Linked DNA regions of Coturnix japonica. The protein of the gene in region 1 purifies or fractionates together with the protein of each later gene. This does not show direct contact. Links are inferred from orthologs where the notes say so. Each region holds a gene or a part of one and is shown in the gene's direction. Other genes may lie near its edges. The genes, in order: ARHGAP12, TJP2 and ASAP1.

Region 1 (3,629 bases):
GAAAAACAGGACTGCAAAAGCTACTTTAAAGAGGGAGAAATGAATACAGTTCTCCTATATGTGGAAATGGTTACAGTCAGAAGCAGTTGCAGCAAATAATTGTGTTACATACCAGCATTTTCTTGTCCTATCTAATCTGCGTTGTTCTACCTGCTACAGCTGCTTGCTACTCTGCCTTTCTGCTGCGTGGCCTTTTTCAACCCTTTGCTACTGACTCTGCTTATACAGCTGGCTGTGTGAGTAGGAGCAGCAGGAATGAGATGATCTGGGGCACTGGCCTTTATGCATACAGCTAATAATACGATTATATACCAATTGTCTTATTGTATAATTGGTTTGGTGTGCTGTTTGGATTTCCCAAAGCAGTTTTCAAATGCAGATGTTGTTACTAAACATGACAAACGGGCTAGATGCGATGCATGGTGCAAATGCAAGAGCAGTTTCTCTCTTGCATGAGCTCTGAAGTAAAATGTATTAAATACTGCAAAGATGGTCACTTACATGCTGCCTTTAAAAGATAAAATAAAACTTTCTTCCTTTTGAGTGTGAGCTTTGCTTCTCTATTTCAAGACCCTGTTTCAGTCTCATGCATCCAAACCTGGGATGTCATCTGTTATTTGGGCATACGGTGAAACCATGAGTCTGGGGAGCGTTTCAGTGCTAACATCTGATCTGAACAAGAGGAACTGACATGTTGGTGAAACACACTGAGACTTTACAAGAACATGTTCTCTGCCAAAGCTGATTTTCATTTTTGCTCTGTTTGATGATAGAGAACACCCCCGCTGCCTTTTGTGTCATTTGGAGGCCAAGATGCAAAATATCTGAAAGATGGACATTGTCCATAAGTACTTATGTTTGAATTCCAACCTTGAAGCCATGTTGCCTATTCGCAGTCACTCATGCAATCAGAGCTCTGTGTAATGTTCTATCATTTATGTGGTCATTTCAGAACTTAAACATGTTAGAGATGAAGCTCTATATTGAAGCCTTTCTCTGTAAAGGAATGTGTAATTAAATAAAAGCAGTAGGTGTAATGGAGAATAACTTTTTCTTCTCCCTGGTTGCTTTGGGTTAAAGTTTTTCTGTTCAGATTATTTTTTTCATCAAAGATTATGGTAATTGTATTTTGAACCCCAAAGAGGGATGAGGTACAACAGAACATTTGAATCCATTAGATTTCTCAGTGCAGTAATGGCGGTATGATTCTTCCAAGTTTTCTTCCGATGAATTAAAATGATTTCAGTACCAAAAGTTCCTCCCTCAAAGACTCATGTTTGGGAAACTGCTGACACTTTTTCTTTCTGGGAGAGGCTGAGAACTCTTTTCAGAACTTTCCCCCCCTCACACTCTAATAATGCAACAATTGTATCCTGTACTTCTTGCTCTGTGTAGAGGTTTGTTTTAACCTGAACTAGTTCTGTCACTCGAGTCCTGTTCCACTGTAAATCAGTCTCTTTACTTGGTTCCAGATCAAGTGTTTGGTTCCAATCTCACCAGCTTGTGTCAAAGAGAAAACAGCACGGTGCCAAAGTTCGTGAAGCTGTGCATTGAGCATGTTGAGGAACATGGTATGGTGAATCTTTTGTTTGTCTTTAAATCCCTCTTGCTCATCTCGCTGTCTCGTTTTGAATGCTTTAATCCTTAATGTGCTGTTGATTTGTTAGTGGAAATAATCCAATGTGTGTCTGTAGGTAATGTGTTTTTGGGAGTGGGGAAGGTAGCTGGAACCCAGTGTGGGGAGAGGGAAGTAAGTTTTACATCAGAGGAATTGATCTACTTCACTGTCTTACAAGATGAGAACGCTGAACAGCTTTTTGGCAGAAAGGGTTTAAAGGAGCAGAAATTACAAGGAGTCATAGAAGAGCTTATCTCATCAAAGTTTTACTGCAGGTGAAGAGAGACTCTCAGAAGTTACATGTGACGCTGTGGGCTGTCTGCTACCAAGGACTTAATCACATTTTTTTTTGTTGGAAATTCCTTGGTTGTAATTCCTGTCTTGTGTGTACTGTGGGTTGGGCTTCTTGCTTGTCTCTTGCTGTTGCCATATCAACTGAGAGTGGTCTATGGAATCTCCATAACCGTTGATCAGAAGATGGTCTGTTAATTTGGGAACAAAACTTGAGATCAGGATGTTTACAAGGGAATACTGTAAGTGAATTTTAAGGCATTTTCCATGGGAACTTGTTAGGACTTTTTCCAGCATGTTGTCTTTTTTCTCAGTGCTGTTGCCTTGTGTCCTGGGAAGGGAAAAAATATCTGCTTCCCTTCCACTGCGATACTGTAGGTCGACAAACTGCCATCTTGTTTGTAACAGCAGGCTTTATTCCCATTCAAGGTCCACAGTTTGATAGAGAGGGGCTATTTTTCTTTTTTAAAGTAATTTATATTTTAAGGACAGGACTGCAGTGAAGATGGTGGTGAAGTTGTCCTTTTTTAAACACCTGAGGGGAAGCTGACAGAAATGAGCAGCTTTTTTCCCTACTTCCCCAACTCTTCTTACTTCCAAAACAGAAGAAATCTATTGTTTTTGTAAAAAAATGACTAGTGGATTATGGGGAAAAGGGATATGTCAGATGGTGCTGGTAACTGTGCTGTACTGTATCAGACTACTCCACGAGCTACAAGGACTGAAGGTAATCTGGCAACACTCACCCCCTCAGGGGCACTGACTCATGTGCTGCATTCAAGTGGCATTTCAGTTTAATTCTTTACCTGCTAATCAATTCTGAGTAATTGCAGTAGCGTCCACAGAGACAGCTTTCTTCTTTGCTGCCTGGCTGAGTGTTGCAGTACAGTACTTGCCTTTACAGTAGAGGCAAGGGCTACCCATTTACTTCTAAAGGCTGTTGGATAGTGAGTGTGCAGGCACGATGTTCCTTCTTGAAACCTGGTTACTTGACAACTTTGAGATGCTCTGTTCTGCCTGACTTGATATTTCTTAACCATAAATTAAATAATGGGACATCCACAAAATGCTTGGTTCTTGTATGTTGGATCCTGCATATATCCCTCCGTCCACCCGCTAAAAGCATTTTAAATGGCATCTCCAGTCTCACTGGGAAAACTTGAAGCTGTTACCTCATTTACTACTATTCTTCTCCATAGGAAGCTTTAAAGATTACTTGGAGCTTGATGCTGTAAAACTTTTTGTCAGCAAACAAAACCCTCTCTGATGTGCCCTGCCCATCAAAAAATCTAGTGAAATGTTTATTGCCAAACCAGGTTAGCATAAGATTATGTGGGTTGCTTTGGGTTTCAGTTTTACAGAGTAGACCTGTGAGCAAGGAGCCTGATGATTTCAGAACCTGTATGCATGAAAGATTAAAACTGGTTTATCCCTTTATTTTAGGATTAGATGTTGATGGCTTATACCGAGTTAGTGGTAATCTTGCAGTGATACAGAAGCTAAGATTTGCAGTCAATCATGGTAAGTTTTCATCAACTACATTACCATCACGTAGCTTTTCAGGTTGCTGTGACTTTGAGTTTGTAGAGAACTCATGAGGAAAGATTGCTTAATGTGTAACTGCAGCTTTTCTTGAGAAATGATTGCTATCCTTAAAGTTACCTAAAAACTGTGGAGTTTAGTGCATAAAAGCACACACATGCACACAAATACAATGGAA
Region 2 (4,400 bases), on another chromosome or scaffold:
CTTTTTCTTTTAGAGGAGAGAACAGACCAAATCCAAGGAAGAAGAGTTGTCATAAATACTTCAACTTATGATGAATGTTTTCCCATTTTTTTTTTACCACATTTTCCCTGACTGGAAATGGGAATGTTTGTTTCATGTTACCTTTTTAATTGTCAGGGCAGTGAAGAGAACAGGAGAGCAAGGACAGGGATAGAGGCATCTCCAGTACATCTTTATATTTGTTCCTTCTTATTACCACTTTTCTTTAAATAAATAGATGAAAATGTGATTTTAGAAGTTGTGAGTGTGTCTGTTCTGCAGAATGATTATTTTCCTTTAGAGACATTAGTGAAGATTATCCACTGTTTTGACCAGGTTCCAGTGCCAGGTCCTCCAACCATACAGGTGCTCTGGCAGCCCAGCGAGGGCTGCTGAACTGCGCAAACCTGCATGTGATCCAGTTCTGCTGGCTACTGCAAGAAATTGCCAGAGATTGGCAGGATGATAGTTGAAACATAGGGTGTTGAATTCAGTCTTGTGAGGGAAAATCCTTAAACTCCAGGTTTCTCAATTGAATGTTGTTTACCTTCAACAGTTAGAACTATCCATCTTGGGAAGAAATGCAACTTGTGGATGGGCTTTTTCACTTAGCATTGCATACTGACCTGTGTATTGCTATGTGTTCCTGTCTGTTTCACATTTTAAACAGCCTGTGAGACTTGCATGAAGTCTGGGGGAAAACTCTGGTCGAATTTTAAGCTCACATCATTTGTATGGGTTAGATGGAAGTGATAGCTTGACATATTTTCCAGTAAGGTCATCTTTCAGGCTATATGATCAGCTTATTACCAAAATTTTACTTCCTGTGCAATCAAACATCTAACCACTACTCATGGTTATGAGCAAGTTGTTTCTCTTTTTCTTGCTTGCTAGAGTCATATCCCCAGGATATTTTTAAATGTAACTCCTGGAAGTGTTTAAATGTAATTATACATGTGCAGGTGAAGGAATTACTCGCATGCTTACAATTACTTCTGCCTAAGGACTTCCTGGGTCCAGTAGTTAAATTGTTGAGACTTGATAGAGGCTGTTAAACACAGTTTAAAATGTGCAAAATAACGGAGCCAAGTGGTAAATCTTACTATAAAGTGTTATATGTCTGTCAGAGTGTAAATTTCAAGTAAGCATCCTTGTGCTTCTCTGTGCCTTTTTCTTTGAAGTTGCTAGTGCCCTGTTTCTTTAAAGTTTCAGATATGTTCGTGATGGGAGGGAACCAAAATGTGCTTGTAAAAAGAGTAACTTGCTGTGTTTTGATCTGTTTCTGACACTTAAAATAACAACTATTCCTATTATTTTTAAAATCAAGGATGTAGTCTTTTTTTTTTTTCTTTTTTGTTTTCCCTGGGGCCTCTTACAGCGAGAGTTACTGAAACTCTGAGTAGATTTCCCTGCTGTGGTTTTGATGCATTTCTGTGTGAAACGGACGGCAGGATTTGTTCTAGTATGTAGGCCACTATTGTATTAGAATTACATAACCGTGTGGAGTGGTAGAAACAGATGAAAAGACCAGGATGCACGGCGTCCCCGAACAGATCATATCCCGTGACAATGAAGACAGCGCAAGCTCTGCAGAGAATGTGGTCACATGCGGTCAAAAAGTTGAGGATTTTAAGGGGGCACGTGAGTTGCTTTTTGTTGCATCTTGCTCTGGGTCTTTCCTCCCTCCCCTGTGTGGCTTGTGTCTCCTTCCCCCCTCCAGCTCACTTTCACAGCCCAATAACTGTGGTGGCAGGTCTTCTGGAGGTGGTTTTCTGAAAGAAGCTGCCTGAGGCTATCTCTCAGTTGCAAGTAATTGCATAAATCGCGGATGACTGTCAGTGGGAGTTGCTGCTTGTAGCGCACAGATGATTTTAGTACTTTGAATTGTTTCCTGACACGGATTCTGTTAAGCGGTCTGCGTTGGCCATGTAGAAAGTGCCTGCCGTTTTGGTGTTCAGAATTAGGCAGATTTAAGCAAATCCTGACTGCGCTGCTCTCATTAGGAATGGACTGACTTTAGTCACTAGTGAATTCAGACTAGCTAATGACAGTTACTTGTACTTCCTGCAGCAATCCTGCAGCAATGCTGCTGTCTGTGTAAAACCTTGAAAAGCAGTTACTAACAGTAACTGTTGCTGTAACAGTAACACTGCTGTTTCCCCTGTCTTTCTTTCTCCTGTGTTTCTGTGTGTGATCTTGCATTGAAATGGCAATTGTACAAGGGACATCCAGGCTGTTCAGATCCTTTCTTGTTTCCCTAGAGACAAAGAGCGAAGAAATTGGCTGGGGTGATGGGAGTTTTTTGTAACCCATCACTTGATGCAGACAGAGGACAGTCATGTCATTGGGCATGGAATACAGGAATTTTGTTATTCTCGTGGAGACTTTTAATCATAGTTTTATAAGTCCGTGGCTGGTGATTTTTAGCATTTGTAGTCTTTTCCTCCCATTTAGTCTCCCCCAGTAAACTGTCCTTGTTGGTTAGTATCGTGGCAATAGCATACAGCGGTATTTTTTTATAATGTTAAAGGGATTATTGCTGAGAGATTTGAGGGAGTACAGATGTGTTTTTTGCCTTGCAGGCTTCCAAGGTGACCATTCAGTTCTCTGAACTGTGTTGCAGATCCTGAATGGCTTTATCAGTATGGCAGAGCTGGTCCTGCTGTCGTGGTAATTATGTTGCACAAAATCAGCTTTGCAAGTACATAATGTACTTTCCTTCACTAATATGGTATACAGCAACTGGGAGTCAGTTTCCCAAGGACCAGTTTCTGAAAGCGTATTAATTACAAATTTAAAAGTGAATTATTTAAGTGTCTTTTATTTAATAGTTACTAACAGTTCCAGACTAAAAAGCCCCTGGCCTTCCCCTCCTCCACATTTACACAGAACGTGTGTGAAGATCGTAACAGATATTTTAAGGAATATTTTCTGGGCACAGATGAGATGATGCTGTTGTCTTGACATCCTACAGGATCATAACTGTAGTATCTGTAGGCAGTAGTTTCTTTTCCTTTCCTATTGTTTGTTTTTGTGACCAGATATCACAAGACTTGTTTGTCAGAGCAAATAAACTTACCTGTGTTGGGTTTCTACACTTACGTTTGCTACGTGATGCGTCTCTTATCTCATGTGCAAGGTTTTACTCCACAATTCACTAGAGCCATCGTTTTGGTGAAGGAAATTCCTGTAAGCTCAGTTTTTTCCTCCCCACAGATCCTCTCTTAGTCTCTTTACTCTCCTTAGTCTCTTTTCTGCAGCATTGCATTGAACAAGGAGTCATTTCTCAGATGATCCTTTTTGCAGATAGAATATCAGAAGGCTTGATGTTAGGGTTGCTGGAAGAGCAGGGTGTGCGTGCTGCCTTCCGGCCCATAAGGGCAGTCTGCCTGCCTTACTTTTGTAAGTAAGCCAGCCTCAGCAGTGTGTTGGGCTGGTAAGTAGGATTGGTAAGGACTGCAGGCAGTGTAAATTGAATTTAAATAATGTTCTTGCCACATACATAAGTTATTTGGGCTTGTATGCAGTAAGAGAGAGAAAAGATTTTCCATCTACCTGTCCACAAAATCTGAACCCAGCTGCTTGTCCTTTAAATGTTACCAATCATCCTCTTATTTCTAAAATTCTCTTCATTGAAGCCGACTGTAATATAAATGACACAGAGGCCTTTCTTTAGTAGAGACCACAGAGCTTGAAGATACCATATAGAAAAGTAGGATAGAAATGATATAAATTAGTGTCAGTAGTAGCTAAACTATCAGTTTTCATACATGCCAGACAAGCAACCCAAGTAATTTCGTTTCTCACAGCAGCTCAGAATAAAACATGCAGATAAGGAGATTTTTTTCTTTTTTTAGTCTACAGGAGATCTCTGTGTAAGGGAATTTGCGTAGTGAGATGGTTGACTGTCAGCTTGCTGAAAGGTTAGGCATGTAAATTGCTAAAGTGGGAATATCAGAGAAAATAATTTCACCATATGCTTCATCAGACACAGTAACTCTCTGACAATAGACATGGACATTTTAATAGGAAGTTAGAAATGCTGATCATTCTAGACAGGTTTATGAGTACTTACGTTAATTTCAATTTAAGTCATTCTCTGAACAGATCTGCTAAATGTGTTTTCAGTTTGACTCAGAGAGTCCTAGAAACTGGGTAGCATTGTCCATTTTGGAGGAGAAAAGTATTGGTGCACATTTAATGTTGTTTGGTGTTGTGAACTTCCTGATAAGAATGCTGAGTGTCGTGCATCTTCCTGCAGGAACTCTGAGCAGAATTTAAGATTTGTTCCATTTTGTGGTGTTTGAAACTTCCACTGGAAGAATACATTATGGGGTTCTCTGCATTTGAGAAGCAGCATCCATGGCTTGCCAAGTAGCTAT
Region 3 (4,257 bases), about 110 Mb from region 1:
TGACTGCAAGCACAGAGAGAAGGTTTAAATAAATATGCTTTAGAGCAGGGACATGCGTTATGTTTGGAAATCCGGGCAGACTCTTTCTGCCGTCTGTGTTTTGTTTCTGAATCCAATGCTATCAAAATGAATAAGCTGTTTGCTCTTTCGACTGCACACCACATGACAGCTAGTTTCCATCCAAAAGCTTTGGCCCTTGCATGTAAATTGATCCTGTAAAGTTAACTCCTTTGTTCAAGAGGTTAAGTATGTGATGTATCAATTGAGCTTTTTGTGTAAAAGCCACAGAGCTATATAATTTCTGAGCCATATGTGTATTGTAGAATAATTTGCAGTAAAGGTATGTGGAGGAGCAAAGATGGATCACAAAAAAAAAAAAAATGCAGGCTCCAGTTCAAGAAAATATCCATTTAGAGCAGAATTTAAGCATATGCTTAACTCCCATTGAAATATGGCTTCTAATCATGTTTCAGGTTAACCATGTGGTTAATGCTGGCCCAGTGGGGAGGGATTTATGCAAATGCTTAAAACCTCTGAACTAGGCAGGGGTTACAAAAAGGCCTCTCAAATCTGCACTGACAAGATTAGGGATCCAAACTCACACCCAGCCTATAGCAGATGTCCCAGAAAAAGCCACCAGGGAAAGAAAAAGTCTGAAGGAAACAGGATCATCAGGAGATATTTCAGAAAGGCCAAACATGCAAGCAGGGTTTGACCCTGTCTGTGAAACACAGAAATTACTCTTCTCCAGGATGAAGCAGCACAGTTAGGAGATGAGGATGCCAGGGGCTTCACCAGCCTGCAGGGAACCTCTTCTTACAGTGCAGGCTAGATGAACGCTGAGAGCATCAGCTGGAACTCTGGAGATCCATTTGTTGTTCTTACTCACATATTGGCCATGACCTTGGGCTACATTCCCTCTGCTGTGTTGCAACACTAGCATCCATCCCAGACACCCATGTGGCAGCGGAGGACCAGGAGATACTCACAGGCATGGAAGACCTCAGAATTCCTTTTTGTAGGTGTAAAAATTCCTCCATCCTGTGTCCTGGTTGCCATCACCATAAATATATCCCAGGGAATACAAAGGGCTTCTATAAAAGTAGCTTTGCAACAATGAAAAACTCAGAATATAAGATGAGAAAAAGGAATCTTCATTGAAGGAAACAGTACTGTCTTTGCATTGTCTTCTTCAGTGAAACTGGTGTTGCCTAGGTAGAATGACGTCTCCTCTGACATCTTAATCCCCACCGCCTACCCTGCTGGCAGTGGGATCATAAGCATCTTTGGCAACAGACAATTGGCATTTTCAAAACATGCTAAATTCTTCCCTTCTGCTGCAGTGCATCTGGACACAGAACATACTGGCAGCCTCGCTCAACATTATCATTTTATTAGAAACTCTTGAAGGAGTATATTTGTCTTATGCCTTCAGATTTTTGTTATTTCTCTCTGGTAGCAAGAACCAACAGCGCTCAAGGTACTTCCCAAAGAAAATAAAGGCACAGCCTCTGCCCTGCAGAACCATCAATCCCCTTAAGATCCTTTGCAGTACTGTGAAATAGGAGAACCAGAAATCTAACACCAACGTTGTGAAAATGTGAAGGTACTTTTAATATTTCTCTTATGTGTGTGTGTGTGTATGTGTGTATGTGTGTTTAATCTTTGTCTCTGTAATAGCGAGGTCTATTTTTCTCACTGTAATCGGGTAGTCTGGGAAAAGCAATGCTTCCCTTGATTTCACTGCCTTAATCCTGCTCATGGTTCAAGGCAGAGCACTGTATCAGCTATAGCACTGAGAACCTATTGTGGTCTTCCTCCTTGGCACCTCTAACACCAGAGCAAAGCCTGGGATCACACTGACTCCAGGACTTGCACTGATTTCAGGAGCATGATCAGGCTCTGGTCTGAACTGAAACAGCACAGCTCCACTGCCTACCCAGAGCCCTGCCACTTTCTCCCAGGTGGAGATCTGGCCCTCAGCCTCCATTAATTATCATTGCAATTCAGGGATGCAGAATATGTTTATCAAAGAGCAGAGAGAGCCTGGTCAGCTGCATGGGCTTACAAAAGGAAAGGTGTTTGCTTATCTCAGCTCCAAGGGGCAGCATCTTGGTGACAGTGAGCACAGGTCTGCCAGGGGCAGGCTGCTCTCACTAATGTTAACTAGAGCTGATGGAAAGAGGCTAGACAGCTCCTCTGAGTCCCACCCTGCCCTATTTTTCTATGATATCTCTTATTTAACCAGGAATCAAGTCTTCCCCATTGGTACGAATTATATCACCTGAGGCCAGGCAGTGTGTTACAGAAGCAGAGGGCTCGGTTCAGGCGCAGCTTTGAGGATGAAGTTCAGTTTCAGGGTCCAGAAACTATGGAGGGTGTTACAAGGAGCTCTGCGAGGAGTAGGGCCATGCATGATGAAGGTAATGGGCAAATTCAGGCCAGCAGAATTTCCCTGTGCATTTTACTGACTGTTTTGGGAGGTTTTGCATGGATTAGGGTAGGATTTATCTGACTGCTGTGCCAAGCCAGCGTTGGTTCACAGAATCCTTTTTATTTTTTAACTGTGTCAGTGTTCCCTAGCTGGCATCTCTCTCCCTGAATCTGCCCAGCCAGTAAGAAGGGAAGATTTATTTCCAGCTTTTGTACTATAGCAGGGGGTGAGGGGAGGCTGCTTTTGTCTGCTTTTAAAGGGACACCCCCTCCTCTTCTTTAATATCCAGGGCTAAAGTAGGCGGGGGATGCTGGCAATTGTCCCTCAGCATGAGGGCACAGATACCAACACAAAGCCCCCCCAGATGCACGTGTGCCTGTCTGATGACTGCTGTGGGAGCTGCCTGCATATTTTAGGAGACAATTAGGCCAAGGCAGTGTCTGCTGCCTATTCACTCTTTGTCTCCACCCTGGGGAGCAGGAGAAATGATTTATGAAGGGAATAGACTTAACGTCTTCTGGCTTTGGTCAGCTGTGGTGTGAAAATAACTTCATTCAAGGCAATTAGTATCAAGCCCTAATTAAAAACAAAAGTGCTGTAGCACCTAGAGCATGGCCTTGGAGTGGGTGGAAAACAGGCAATGGGGAATGGGCAGGAGCACCATCACACAGGTATGTGAGGGGCAAAGGCAGGCAGCCCTCAGCCATGCTCATGTCCTCACAGGGGCTTCTCCAGCAAGAAGAAAGTAGGAAAGCATCCACACTGCTCTGCTGGAGCTGGCAGTGACCTGAAAGGCTGGAAGGAGTCTGGCTGGGGCGGGCTGCTTGTGTGCATCCAGACAGAGCAGGAGGGACTAGTGCTGCTCTTCACAGCAAATCCTCACTAATCCTCCAAAAGCAGAGACAAAAACTAAACAAGGGATGCAGCCTGAGCTTGCTCGGGTGGTTCTGTTCAACTTCTGGCACTTGCCCAAATGGGGCTGGGTAATCCTCCCGCCCTCCTGCAAGGTTTGCCCCAGGAACAGCGATAAGGCCTTTGTGCTGGGCCTCAGGCCCTGCTGCTGCCTGCAGCCCAGCGTGGAGCCCCATATTAGTACTCTCATTAAAAATGTGCTTTTTCTGCCCTTGTGCCTGGCCCTGTGTCAGGTTCTTTTAAAGATGATGATCAAAACGGTTACACAGAGGGTGTTTTGTGGTTGAGACTTCTATTTGGCACTCCAAATCACTGTAACCTCTACCAGGTGTCCTACTGGGAGGAATGGCTGACCCATGCTAATCCCTGCACGCTGCTGGGGACTTTTCTAACAATATAACAATGCTGACAAGTGCCAGCCCTGGGACAATCCCCTGGCAATATGTAATTCATTGGTCAAGATATAGGTTAGATATCTTCAGTGCATTCAGGTGACTACAAGACTTTTGTGATTGAAGTAGCAGCTTTGCAACACTAATGGTTTTGGAGAATAGTGTAAGACTGCTTATCTGGGTAAAGCAGTCCTTGCTTGAGCCAAAGTCACCATGTGCCCTCACCTCCTACATCACCCATTTGCACTGCACATGAAAAATCCCTGTGCATTCACCACACACTAGACCTGAGAATGGGCTGAGCAGGAATCCAGGGCAATCTCAGGCTGCATGCTTTACAAGTTGCTCCATATAGTGGAAAATAAATTATCCCAAATGCTAGGAAAATTTATATCTGAAGTTTGCTTCTTGAGCTAATTTAGAGCTATGTTGAAATACTTCAGCTAAGTATCTGTTTGCCTCATTGTAGCTTAGTAAATCAGATGACACATTGCAGTCAATTAAACCAACAGTATGACA

Evidence for each region.
Region 2: the proteins of ARHGAP12 (region 1) and TJP2 purify together in Homo sapiens (co-immunoprecipitation; 3 studies listed by BioGRID and IntAct, with this or other methods). This does not show direct contact. The link is inferred for Coturnix japonica from reciprocal best matches to the Homo sapiens genes ARHGAP12 and TJP2.
Region 3: the proteins of ARHGAP12 (region 1) and ASAP1 purify together in Homo sapiens (co-immunoprecipitation; 3 studies listed by BioGRID and IntAct, with this or other methods). This does not show direct contact. The link is inferred for Coturnix japonica from reciprocal best matches to the Homo sapiens genes ARHGAP12 and ASAP1.

The regions. Positions count from the first base shown.
Region 1 is NC_029517.1:12,964,712-12,968,340, forward strand, and holds part of ARHGAP12 (rho GTPase-activating protein 12), read left to right. Parts: intron 1-1,472; coding exon 1,473-1,571; intron 1,572-3,352; coding exon 3,353-3,430; intron 3,431-3,629. UniProt on the Homo sapiens protein: GTPase activator for the Rho-type GTPases by converting them to an inactive GDP-bound state.
Region 2 is NC_029547.1:31,074,957-31,079,356, forward strand, and holds the start of TJP2 (tight junction protein ZO-2), read left to right. Parts: upstream 1-1,531; 5' UTR 1,532-1,536; coding exon 1,537-1,659; intron 1,660-4,400. UniProt on the Homo sapiens protein: Plays a role in tight junctions and adherens junctions. Acts as a positive regulator of RANKL-induced osteoclast differentiation, potentially via mediating downstream transcriptional activity.
Region 3 is NC_029517.1:126,889,100-126,893,356, reverse strand, and holds the start of ASAP1 (arf-GAP with SH3 domain, ANK repeat and PH domain-containing protein 1), read left to right. Parts: upstream 1-1,335; 5' UTR 1,336-1,606; intron 1,607-4,257. UniProt on the Homo sapiens protein: Possesses phosphatidylinositol 4,5-bisphosphate-dependent GTPase-activating protein activity for ARF1 (ADP ribosylation factor 1) and ARF5 and a lesser activity towards ARF6.